Linked DNA regions of Mus musculus. The main gene of each other region encodes a partner of the protein of the gene in region 3 in a complex. Links are inferred from orthologs where the notes say so. Each region holds a gene or a part of one and is shown on either strand. Other genes may lie near its edges. The genes, in order: Ormdl3, Sptssa and Sptlc2.

Region 1 (3,590 bases), on a different chromosome or scaffold from region 3:
TACACAGGACAGCCCGAGAGGCCAGTGTCCTCGGGAGATAAAGGGAGTGTCCTCCCTCTCCTCGCTGTGCTAGCAAAAGCCACAATGAACCCTCCTCTCCTCCTAATCCTCAAAGCAGGAGGAAGCACAAAGGCCAACCCTCTCCAAAACAGGAACTGGCTGGAAATGACCAAGGTGAGAGAGAAAAGAGGATAGATTCACAGTGCCAGTAGGAAACCGGAGAACCAGAGGTAACCCCCACCCCACTCCACTTGTAAAGGTCTAGACTGGCCTTCCCGGCCACCACGCCCCATTCCAGATTCCCCCAGCCAGACCTATAAAGCCGGATGCTCAGAGCCAACCGAGGACAGCAGGACTCCACTCTGACTTACCAGGGTCCTCACCATCTTCCTCACATCGCCTTTGGCTCCTGGACCTGGAAAAAGGCAGCCGCCCCAGAGTCCCCACTACTGCCTAGGCAGGAGCTGCCGTTGCTCCCACTGCCGCCAGCTTTCCTCCCAGGGCCCACCCGCCAGGAAGCAGAGGCCAGACATGGTAAACAGAACATGTTGCTCTTTATTTGCATTTTTTCAGAATACTGTACAAAGGGAGTAAAAATCCTATTCACACTTTGCTTAGAAAGACCAGAAGGTGAAAGTTCCCTATGATACACTGGGTTCAGAATGAGGGGGAGGGGGACAAACAGGTGAGTGACCTCCCTCCAGCCCCTCCCTGGGAGAGGGCTTGGGTAGCCACGCGTTTCCAAAGGAACATGCCCCAGTCGACCCAGCGAGTGGAGAGACAGCTCCTCTCGGCCTAGCCTCAGGCTCCATGACCTGCCTCTCTTTGGGCTGAGGACAGTGCCTGCAGCTGCCCCTACTACTGCCTGGTTTGGGCAGAGATCCTGTAGCACTGTGGAGGCCACTGACCACATGTGGAGGTGGCCTCCTGACCATTCACATGCAAGCCACACAAGAGGCACTGCCCCAGCACAATCTACACAAGAATACGAATTGAACGCTTAAGGAAGAGCCTCTCAGAAAGCTTCCGCGCGCGCCCACACACACCACTAAGGGAAGTGTCGAAGTGAACCCGCTTCTGAGGACTCACAGGCCCTTCCAGCCTGTGCATATCCTCATTCCAACCCAGGAGTTCAAACCCACAGGGGCCTCCCTTCCTATCAGCATCGTTCTGTGGGTAAATTAACCCTCCACGCCAGCTCTCCTCCTAGCCCACATCTCAGAGGAGGCGGAGTCTGGCTTCTCCTTCCCAGACCTCTTTTTTTTTTACACTGATCCATATCGGCTGCAGTTATCTTGTCCATTCTAAGTAAGACCCAACTTACTATCCCCACCCAACCCTTGCTCAGAACTCCCCTCTCCCCAGGACCAAGGTGGCAGCATCCTGTCCCCACCTCTAGGTGTCCCATCAACCCATCTTCCTTTCCTAATCTCCCCTGCCCCACAGCCTACCCATCGTGGGTTGCCAGGAAGCCCACAAAGCCCGCCTGCTCCCTGCCTGGCGGCAGAGGCAGCACGGCGCAGGGTTCTAATACATACAGAACAGCGAGTCTCGCTTCACACACTGAAGGAATGAGGGCAACCAATGCAGAAGCTGTACCGTCCCTCTGCCCCCCTTTTTGGGGGCTAAAGTGCTATGGCTGCCTGAGGGTAAACAAGCCAACAGGGCCTTTTCCTGGCTTCCTGTCCCAATTTCTCAGGCCCACAGTCAGCCAGAGAGCCCAGCCTCTTTCCTGACCACCCCCATGGCATCTCTATTCAAAAGGCAAAAGGAAAAAGATCAAAAACTTCAGAATGGGTTAGAGCCCAAGGGCCCCACCCTAACCCCACTACAAGCTACTCCAAGTCGGCTACTGGGGAAGCGAGGGGGAAGCCAGGCCCAGGGCACACCCCCATCTCTGGCAGTGTCCAGAGGCTCCTGTCTTCAGCATCACAGCAAAGGCCTTCCACCCTTCCCCTGCCAACCCGGCTGGGGAAGGGGCTACAACCTCAGTACTTATTGATTCCAAAGATCCGGACTCCGTGGAGCTGGGGGAGCTTGGGAATGAGCACAGTCATCAAGGACACAGTGTTGAGTATGAAATGGACTTGGTCATACTTGGTGTAGAAGCTGGTGAGGAAGTACCTGGAGGGGAGGGAGGGAGGGAGGGAAGGAGGAAATATGGGTTCCCAGATAAGAAGTGGAGTGACAACTCTCTAGCTAGCAAGGCCCTCCTGACCTACCTTCCCCCCCAGCTTACTCCAGTGAGGAAAGACAGGGCCAGGGAGGCCAAAGGCCCCGTGTGAGACCCAAGAATATGTCTCTTCCCTCCCTCTGCTCATCCATACAGCAAGGGCCAAAGCTGGGAGGGTTTAGGGCCAGCTGAGCCCACCCGTTTACCTCTGCTTATTCTCCCATAGCCAGAGTACTCACAGCACTATAGGCGTGATGGTTAAGAACTTCCTAGAGGCTGTGAACTGGACCCCGTAGTCCATCTGCTCCCAGTGGGTCAGCAACCTTGCTTTGCCTTGGTCTGGAGTCTCGAAGGGCGTCCCTTTCACGGTGTGCAGAAAGATGTACATGCCCTGAAAAGAGGGGCCTTTGTCAGAACATACGAGATGGCTCCCAGCCTGGCTCCCCCACTTATCAGACAGCAGCAGCTCTGGGTGGACTGCCACCTGCTCTGCTGCAGTAACTCAGGAAGGCAGCCTTAACACAGGAGAGCGCACCAGAGCTTGGTGGGAGAACAAGGGGGGAAATAAGGAAGGAACGGACACAGCAAGGCAGCCTTTCCAGCCCAACTGGGGTCTCTACATGTTAGCTAAAAGGAGCAAACCAAGGAGGAAGGACTAGACCCCAGCCTGCTCAAAAGTGGGGTACAAAGCAGCAGGTTTTAGGGAGCACAGAGGATTATGAGATCCTAATATGGGAAAAGAATGTCTCTGCACAGATTCCTGGGACCTGGGGGCAGCCTCAGCATGGGCTCAGCTCCCAGTTTGCTGTCCTTCAAACACACCAGCCACCCAACTAGGGAGACATGGACGATGTGCAAATTTGATTCTAAAGCCCACAAGGGGGAGCCAGGTAAGAGTTGGGCCTGGGCTCTGGTGACAGATGTTGTCAGGACCTGCTGTCTGTCCCATTAGAAGCTCCTCCTATCTCTCAGCTCTGGCCTAGAACAGCCCGCACGGGGGGTGGGGGGGGGGTGGGGGGGTGGCTGGTGGTAAGCAGGATCTTACCAGGTTGTGGATAAGGTTGGTGAGGGTCCAGACGACAGGGACGCTCACAAAGGGAATGCTCAGCAGCACGACATGCAGGAGTCCGATGGCCAGCACGTAGGAGAGCCAGATGCCGCGACTGTTCATCACCCGTGTGTTGGGGTTCACCTCACTGTGTGCTGTGCCCACATTCATCCTGCCACCCCTCTTGACTGCCGCTCTGCAAAAGAGCAACACAGGTGAGACAAGTCACACCACTTTCCCTGCCCCTCACACCCCAAGCCCCAGAGAGGCAGGCTTTTCACTCCCTGAGAACTCCACACCACTGTCCACTGTTGGGAGTCTCAAGCCCAGAAGCTGGAGAAAGTCCATGTGAACGTGACACTAGTCATT
Region 2 (4,362 bases), about 33 Mb from region 3:
AAGCCATAAATATCACAGCACTCAAGGCTTAACAAGGCCCTCCTCAGTCACTGCTACTAACAAATGGTATCACAAGCTGAAGCACTGTGGGACACAGACCAGACCTTAGGCATTGTCTTCCTTATCTTACACAGGAGTACAGCTAGTAGGTAGTCTAACATTCTCTCTCTTTCTTTGTTTCTAGTTATTTATTTTATACATCTGAGTGCACTGTAGTTGTCTTCAGACACACCAGAAGAGGGCACCAGATCCCATTACAGTTGGTTGTGAGCCACCATGTGGTTGCTGGGAATTGAACTCAGGACCCCTGGGAGAGAGCAGTCAGTGCTCTTAACCCCTGAGCCATCTTACCAGCCCTGTATTCTAACATTCTCAATTCAAAGGTAGTGCAAAACAAACCAAAGCTTAGGAACTGGGAGCTGAGGAGACAATCTCCCAGGAAGCTAAGAGAGTTATTAAGACCATCAGAGATCTTTCCCTGGGCTACTAGGTCTTGCCATTCCCCGCCTCACTCTCTCTCCTCTTCCTCAATCTCATAACTGTACATTTCCCGGGGACACAAAGAACCTCTAACACAGCAAACAACGGCATAATAACTAACCTGGGTAATGTTTTCATTCAGATAACAGACATCTGGCACAGCACCAAGCCCTGTCTCCAAAAGGAAACAGTAATTCTATCAGCACCTTTGGTGGGGGTGGCTTGGTTTGGTTCTGTGTTTTCTGAGGAACAGGGTTTCATGAAGCCAACGCTGCCCTCAAACCTACATGTAGCTGAAGCTAGCCTTTAACTGCTGATGCTCCTGAAGCTACCTCCCCAAGTACTAGAATTACAGGCAAGCATGCACCACCACACCTAGCCATGCCCACAACTATTTGAACAGAAGAACAGAAAAAGGCACTTTTTCAAACAAAAATTCCCCCCCCCCCCTTGGAAACAGGGTTTCTCTGTGTAGCCTTGGTTGTCCTGGAACTCTTTCTGTAGACCAAGCTGTCCTCAAACTCAGAGATCGGTGTGCTTCTGCTGCCAGAGTGCTGGGTTTAGAGATGTGAGCCACTGCCATCTGGCCCCGGGTCAGTATTTCTATTACAATATAGCCAGAGAAATCTTAACACTGTTGCCACTGTAGCATTTATCCACATGCCAACAAATGTTTCAAAGCTTACAGGTCTAAACTGAGTTCTACTGTTACCCTAACCTAAAGAGTTTCACTTCACCCCAACACTGTTTCTTTGCCTGCCTGCCTGGCTTCCTTTTCCTTTGAGTTTTGCTATGTAACCCTGGCTTGCCTGGTAGTAGCTATGTATTATGTACCTCAGGCAGCCTTGAACTCCCAGCATTCCTCTTGAATCAGCTCTCTGAGCATGGTAATCAGTCATGAACCATCACAGCTGGCTTTCATTATTATTATTTAATGGGGCTTTGTCAACATTAATTGTAGTAAGATAATTATCAGTCAAGATTAACTGCTACCCAGCCTGGTCTACAGAATGAGTTCCAGGACATCCAGGGGTACACAGAGAAACCGTGTTTTGAATTAATTAATGAATTAATCAAAAGATTACCTGCTACTATTGAAAAGTTCCAATTAGGCATAAATTTAAATATAGATGTTATCTGACCTACAAAATCCAAAGAGCAAACTGAAGCTACAAATAAACGATTCGGAAAATCAGGCTTTCTTAATCCGGAGCCCCAAATATACATTCTGGTTATTAAACTTTAGGTTAGGAAATAATTGCTCACAGTAATAGTCTTGCAAGACGCTAAAATTTTTCAAGAGTCAGCTCCAAATAACCTCATGCTATTTCCACACCAGCACCCTTGAAAAAGCTTGCAAAGAAGCTCTACCTCAGTCCTAGGAACGCGTTTGTGAAGTTGTTCCTAACAAAGCTAAACCACAAGAAGCTGAGCGGATGAAATAAGCATGTGATGTGGTATATTCTTTTTATATTAAGGAAAGGAGAAGTGGAGCGTTAAAAGAATGAATTGCTAGTATTTCGTCGACACGGAAATCAGAGGATAGCGGCATAGACATTGGGCGAAAACAAACATCAGGCTTCACAACCTTGAGCTATTCGCTGGAGCTGTTAAAATTAGGCAAGATAACATACACACAAAGTGCTCAGCAAAGTCATCACTCAACAATTCTTAACCGGTGATAAACTAAACAACAAAGCACAGTTTGAAACCCCAGCAAAGTCTTTTCTGGGCACAGCTTGTACCTATGATGCAAAGAAGTCATAAATATAACACACTTTTAAAACTGCCATTTTGAAGCCCAAAAGGCCTTTCAGTAACTTACAAACTGCTTTCCAAAACTGTGTGGGAGTGTCAAGACCACGTACTCACAACCTGGTGAACTGGTTAGAGTTCTATCGCTCCAAATCAGGAATAGCTAAGGGTTAAAGACGCCCAAGCCCGGAGCGATTTGCAGCAACCCTGCCTCAAAGAATACTGAAGGATCAAAAGCAGGCGCGGCCGAAGCGGGACAAGGAAGCACCAGGGGAGACGTCGCCCTCCCGACTGCTTGCAGAAATCAGGATGCCTCCACCTTGGGCAGGGGAATTGCGTACAAGACCCGGATCTCCGCGGTTCCACCTCCCTTGACCCCAAGACACCCCCCCACCCCCTTCCAACCCGGCGCGCGCACCCCTCCACGCCCCAGCCAGGCCAGGACACACAGGATACTGAACACGGTTCGCTCCCAGGGCTCCAGCATGTAGAGCGCAGTGACCAGCAGGTACTGGTAGTAGAACCAGGACATCTGCTTCCATGCTCGCGCCAGCGCCATGCCCGCCATGCGCCTCCCGCGGTGTAGCAGCGTCAGGCGGGCCCGCGGCCCGCTCACCTCCTAAAGCCCCAGGCCTTGGGGCCCGCCCGCCACCACCCTGCGCCCATTGGTCCTGCCGAGCCTGCGCGTCACCGTGTACGCCCAACCCCGCGCGCACCCGAGCGGCCACCGCCGGCTCCTCCTGGCTTGCGCTTATTGGCCAAGCGGCCACTTCGTGTGCTCCTGTCCCGCCCCGCGCCTCGCCCGGAGCGAGCTCCCCAGCCCTGGGAAACGGTCTGGGTTTAAGTGCTAGTTCTGCATCTCCACGCGCACGCATGGCGGTTGCAAGACCGGCTTCAGTCCCCACTGGTGTCCATGCGAGATGGTGCCCTTAAGAGGCCGGATCCTTCAGACCAGCCCAGAAGGATTCCTTTAGAAACCAGTGTATGTAATCTCTCTCCTACCTCATGAATCCCTTCTGGGCCAAGAGATGATAGGGCTGGGTGAGAATGCTACTAAAGAGTCGGGCATGCAAATAAACAGTGCCTTGTGCAAGAGGGAATGCGGGGGTCAAAGAGAATGTGGATGCCAAATGACACCCAGCCAAGAAGATGTTGAAAACTGTAGAAGTAATATGTTCATCAGCTCTTCCCTTCCTCCGAGCACATGCGTGAAAACAGACCTATCTAGGATGCGCGCGCGAGTACACACACACACAACACACACACACACACACGCACTAGTATTCCCTAACCTAAAGACAAAAGAATTGGCCATAGACAGTTGCCAATATTTCTATGACTACACTTAGAAAACAACCATGTAGGTCACAATCAAGAGAAGTGCACTTGATCTAGTGGGTTCTAAAGACAGCTTGAGGTCAGCATGTGATCTGTCTCCTAAAGATTCACTCCTATGACCTGCAGCAGTACCGGCTGTATTCCACTCCTCTAAAGCCCATGCACTGTGTGCTTGTGAAATGACATAATTAAGTAGCCTGCAACTCACATGTCTAAAAGTTTCAAACCTGCTGCTTTAAGCTTTAAAACCTTTCCAGGTTGACAGGTATTAACTTAAATTCCTTATGCTCCTTACGAGCAAAGACCTTACAAACAACAATAGACTTGAGATCTGCTTTCACAAGGTGCCTAGTCATTTTATTTTATTTTATTTCGTCTTGTAGGTTACAGAACATCACGGAGGGAAGCCAAGCCAGGAACTCCAGGCAGGAGATTGAAGCAGAAACCACAGAGGAATACTGCTTAGGAGCATGCTCTTTCTGGCTTGCTCAACTTGCTTTCTTAAACGGCCCAGACCCCACTTGCCTAGCAATGGCACTGCCCACAGTAGGGAGGACACGCCCACCATAGACCAATCTCATGTTCCTCAGCTAAGGTTCCCTCTTCCCAAGTGATTCTAGTTTTTTGTGGAAATGAAAAACAAAAACAAAAATAACTTAACCAATATACAGGACCTCACTATGTAGTATAGGCTGGCCTCGATCTCAAAGTAATTCACCTTTCTCAGACTCCTTCGAGCTACGATTACAGGTATGCACCAACCACACCGAGCCTGGACTCATCTTTCAG
Region 3 (4,145 bases):
AATAAGGCTTTGATTCCTCTGGCACTGGAGTTATAGATAGCTGTGAGCCACCATGTGGGTGCTAGAACCAAATCCAGGTACTCTGGACAAGCAGTGTCCAGTACTTCACTGCTGAGCCATCTCTCCAGGCCCCATAGAGTTCTTTTTGATTCTCGTGTTCACTTTTGAGATCAAAGGGTTTGTGACTTGAAAGTTTTGTCCTTGCTCCACTTGCTGTTAAGAGTACCTCTTCTAAATCAAGCAAAACAAATAACCTTGCCAACGCAGTTCTAAAGCTCCAGGGGAGAAGGGGTTGTGTGACACAGGGATTCACACAGATGCATTCGGCAATTAATAATAACCAGCACTTAATGAATACTTACTAATTGCCAGGTCCTAAGCAAAATACATTACAGGCATTAACTCATTAGATTCTCTTATGGCAACTGTTATTATCCCCCTGAGCAGAGGAACATAGAGGTCACTCAGCTAGTAGGTGAGGCAGCCAGGATTCAAACCTAGACTGAGTCATACTCTTAATTATGACATTGATTTTTTTTTTTATGGGTAACTAAAGGTCTTTGTAATGCTGAAATGTAGATCAATTTCTTTTGCTACTGATTTGGATTAGGTATTGTGATAGGTGTCCAGCGCTTTACTAATGTAATTCTGGCAAATGAGTCCATGAAGCAGGAAGAATTTTAAAAGAACTTGGCTCCTAAAGGAGTTAATTCCTCAAGTTTCAGTTTCAGTTATCACAAGATCTGGAAACAGATCAAGTCTCCTGACTTTCAAGGAAAGTCTTCAAAGGAAATTGCCCTAGGAAAACCCGGATAGAAACAAGTGATGTGCGCGCGAGGCGTTCGCGTAGTTCACAATGAAGAACAGTGAGAGACTGTCAAAAAGGCTATTCTATTAACACCCACAGAGGAATTTGCTAATGAAATAAAGGAGCTGCCTGTCTTGGGCTCGGATTCAACCTGAGAACCTCTCGGGAGGAAGGGCACAGAGGGCAACCACCACCAGTGCTAGAGAACCGGGAACAGGCTCTGGAAATAGGCTCAGCCCCTGTTTCTTTCTCCACACTCTAATTGGCTGTTCCTTTCCGGGCTCCGCCTCCTTCTCAACCTGGACCAGTAGGCGGCAAAGCTCCACCTACGACCTGGCTAGGGCTCCAATCAATTGCTCAGTTCTCGAGTTCCTCTGAAGAAGTCCCCTTGATGTCTGCAAGCCGCTTTTCCCTTGCTCTTAATTCGCCAGAATCAGCATGAGATCCGCCCCTCTCGCCTTTGGATTGGTCAATAGCCGATAGACCCCGCCCCATGTTCCCTCCGGCTGCCGGGCTTCGGCGAGCCCCGTCTTCTCGGGTGGCCCCGCCCTCGCGTGACGGCCGGACCGGGAATTGGCAGCGGCGCTGCAGCCATTTCCGGTTTCGGAGAGGTGGGTGCGGTGCGGAGCGGGAGTTGGCTCCGCCGCCACCTCCAGAGCCTGTCCTGCTGCCGGGTGCTGCCGGGAGGATGCGGCCGGAGCCCGGAGGCTGCTGCTGCCGCCGCCCGATGCGGGCGAACGGCTGCGTCAAGAACGGGGAAGTGAGGAACGGGTACTTGAGGAGCAGCACCGCCACCGTCGCGGCTGCCGGCCAGGTACGATGGGATCGAGAGGCTGGGCGAGATCGGGGCGGTGGGCCGGGACCCCCGCGAGCCGATGCCCGGGCTGGGCCGGGCCGGGCCGGGGAGGACGGGCAGCCGCGCGGGCCGGTCAGTGGCCGGCTGGCGGCTGGGCGCGGCTCAGGTGTGCTGAGCGACGGGGAGCCGGCGCTGGCTGGGCCTCCCCCCTGAGCGGGAGGGAGACTCAAGGGCAGCGCGGGACTCTACAACTATGTGGGGCTCCCTCACCGTGAGGGGCTCCTCGGTTCTGCCCGCTTCTCCAGTTATTCGAGCCTTCCCAGTACTACCCGGCTCCGCAGCGATGAGCTGTGGTTCTCTGCCCTGCGGGGGTCCCAAGGTTTACCTGGTTTCTTAGGTGTGCGGTGTCCCCTAGTTCTGCCTGGCTCTCCAGCCTCCCGGGGCTCCTCAGCCACGCGGGACTCCTGAGGTCTGCCCGGCTCCTCAGCATTTGCTGTTCTGAAGGGCCCTGGAGGCTGGGCTTCCTCTGCAAGTCTCTGGTTCTTAACCATGTGGATCACGCAAAAAAAAAAAAAAAAAAGTGCAGGCCGCTCCTAGTGGGAAGCAGAGGAAATCTTTCCCTCGAAGTCCGGCGATACTTTCTCGGGTTCCTGCCCGGGTCCCCTCGAGTACATGCTTCCTGTAGAGTCTTGCAGCCCCAAAAGGAAGCTGACGCTCTGAGAAAGTTAGGCAGTGCAGTTGTGGAAGCACAACCGGACAGCCTCTTCCTATCACGTTCTGGACTTCCTTTATGGGGAAAACCTTGGCAGGGAACCTCCTCGGGGGTCTTGTCTTGAAAATTGTCCCGTTGTGCGATTGGTGAGACCCCCATCCCACCATCCAGATAGGATTTTAGGTGGCCCCTTCACGGCGCAATAGAGCTATCGTGGAGGGCGTTGCTTAATCCAGTGGTAAGTTGTCATGAGTCCTTGTATTAATTAACTGAAGTTGAATCATCAACCATATCCATGAACTTCTAAACTATCTTACAGAATTCTGAATTCCTAGCAGTATTTTGCTTGTTTCCAGACATGGTTTCTCTGAGTAACAGCCCTCTCAGGCTGTTCTGCTTTGTAGACTAAGCCTGACTTCCAACTTAAAAGAGATCTGCCTTTGCCTCCCAAGAGCAACTAAGACCCCAACACCTGGCTTTCCTGACAGTTTTATTTATTTATTTATTTTCTGAGACAGGGTTTCTCTGTGTAGCCCTGGCTGTCCTGGAACTCACTGTGTTGACCAGGCTGGCCTCGAACTCACAGACCTGCCTCTGCCTCCCAAGTGCTAGGATTCAAGGCATGTGCTACTCTACCCCCTGGCTCCTGGCAGTATTTTTTAAACCAATTATGCAAATATCGGGAAGAATGGTTTTAAAAGTTGCTCGTTCCCCTTAGCAGGAGTGTGATTGGTGTAGTTTTGATAGGTCAGTGACCCTATTTCATCTTCAACATAGATACTAAGCAATAGCAACCTGTCCCCTACCTGAATCAGTAACTCTGATAGATGTGTTAATCCTGTGGTATGAAAGGGTTATCTTCAAGTCTTATGACCCTGGGGGAGAGTTGAGGGTTAGGAGTGGGAGTGCACAGAAAAGACTTGGCCTCCCTTGAGTGTGTAAGGTGTTTAAGAGTCAAAAGATTGCTTTCAAAAAGAATTGTGTGAGAGGAGGTGTGTTAGGAGTCAGTTTGCAGTCTGAGTTTGATATGACTTGTTTGTAATCCCAGCCCTCAGGCAGGTATATCTCTGAGCTCAGGCTGGCCTGGTCTGCATAGTGGGTTCTAGGACAGCAGGGCGATGAGGGACCCTGCCTCCAAAAAACGGGGATGTGGGGAGGAGTCAGTCTGTTATGAGCCATGAAAGAATGTGCTGTTTTCCCTAGAAGTGTAAAATGGCTAATGAGCAACGTTGTGGAGGTATAGAATGTATCTGGGAGGTTGAGTAACTGGAGCTAGAAGAGAACTGATGAATGGGTGAGTTAGGACTTTTGTGAGGAAAAAGGAAGTCCAGACAAAGCTGGGCATGTGTTAGAGGTGCTTTCTAACATAAGCCACTAGGAGTTATATTTTGAGTAAATAGTAAGTCAAGTTCTGACCTCCTGGAATCCCAGCAATTATCATTTGTAAGCATGGTATTTCTTCAGAGGTTGGCAACTATTAAGATGAAATACCAAGTTACTAAAATGAAATATAAAAATCTGTGACTAGCTGTGATAGAATATCCTAAGGGCTGTACTACTATCTTTTCGAGAAAACGATTTTTCACAAATTATTTTAAAGCAGGTACTACATTTATAAGGAATAAGATCTCTAAGTTTATGAGAAAAAGAGAATATCTTAAAATAGTTCGTGAAGTTGGTTGTGTTAAATTAAATCTATGTGCTCCAGCTCCTACCTGTCTTTCCTTGCATCCTGAAGGGGGAGTATTGCCTTTTTTTTTTTCTTTTTCTTTTTCTGAAAATACACAGTAAGATGCAAACTAGATACCCAAGGGTCTTGCTTTCACTAA

The links.
Region 1: the proteins of Sptlc2 (region 3) and Ormdl3 are in contact, whole or in part, in a cryo-EM structure (PDB 7K0O), measured with the Homo sapiens proteins. The link is inferred for Mus musculus from reciprocal best matches to the Homo sapiens genes SPTLC2 and ORMDL3. Residues at the interface, in NP_004854.1 of Homo sapiens: Glu65, Thr66, Pro67, Met68, Ala71, Val72, Tyr75, Tyr86, Gln116, Phe118, Glu119, Asn120, Phe121, Tyr122, Tyr127, Trp134, Asp259, Glu260, Leu261, Asn262, Val267, Arg271, Ile279, Met320, Val495, Val496, Gly497, Phe498, Pro499, Ala500; in NP_001307730.1 of Homo sapiens: Met1, Asn2, Val3, Gly4, Thr5, Ala6, His7, Ser8, Pro12, Val16, Ser19, Arg20, Gly21, Ile22, Leu24, Ser25, Leu28, Phe63, Val67, Lys68, Gly69, Thr70, Pro71, Phe72, Glu73, Pro75, Gln77, Arg81.
Region 2: the proteins of Sptlc2 (region 3) and Sptssa are in contact, whole or in part, in a cryo-EM structure (PDB 7K0K), measured with the Homo sapiens proteins. The link is inferred for Mus musculus from reciprocal best matches to the Homo sapiens genes SPTLC2 and SPTSSA. Residues at the interface, in NP_004854.1 of Homo sapiens: Leu73, Gly77, Val80, Leu81, Phe84, Leu87, Arg88, Leu91, Leu126, Arg129, Ile130, Tyr156, Met475, Pro476, Ala477, Lys478, Gly480, Ala481, Arg484, Glu485, Asp533, Leu534, Leu535, Gln536; in NP_612145.2 of Homo sapiens: Trp15, Tyr18, Gln19, Leu21, Leu22, Val23, Thr24, Ala25, Tyr27, Met28, Leu29, Glu30, Pro31, Trp32, Glu33, Val36, Phe37.

What each region holds. Positions count from the first base shown.
Region 1 is NC_000077.6:98,580,724-98,584,313, forward strand, and holds the end of Ormdl3 (ORM1-like protein 3), read right to left. Parts: intron 3,418-3,590; 5' UTR 3,393-3,417; coding exon 3,219-3,392; intron 2,565-3,218; coding exon 2,413-2,564; intron 2,125-2,412; coding exon 1,989-2,124; 3' UTR 571-1,988; downstream 1-570. UniProt on the Homo sapiens protein: Plays an essential role in the homeostatic regulation of sphingolipid de novo biosynthesis by modulating the activity of the serine palmitoyltransferase (SPT) in response to ceramide levels.
Region 2 is NC_000078.6:54,653,681-54,658,042, forward strand, and holds the start of Sptssa (serine palmitoyltransferase small subunit A), read right to left. Parts: upstream 2,893-4,362; 5' UTR 2,804-2,892; coding exon 2,692-2,803; intron 1-2,691. UniProt on the Homo sapiens protein: Component of the serine palmitoyltransferase multisubunit enzyme (SPT) that catalyzes the initial and rate-limiting step in sphingolipid biosynthesis by condensing L-serine and activated acyl-CoA (most commonly palmitoyl-CoA) to form long-chain bases.
Region 3 is NC_000078.6:87,385,523-87,389,667, reverse strand, and holds the start of Sptlc2 (serine palmitoyltransferase 2), read left to right. Parts: upstream 1-1,312; 5' UTR 1,313-1,496; coding exon 1,497-1,622; intron 1,623-1,989; exon of another isoform or gene 1,990-4,145. UniProt on the Homo sapiens protein: Component of the serine palmitoyltransferase multisubunit enzyme (SPT) that catalyzes the initial and rate-limiting step in sphingolipid biosynthesis by condensing L-serine and activated acyl-CoA (most commonly palmitoyl-CoA) to form long-chain bases.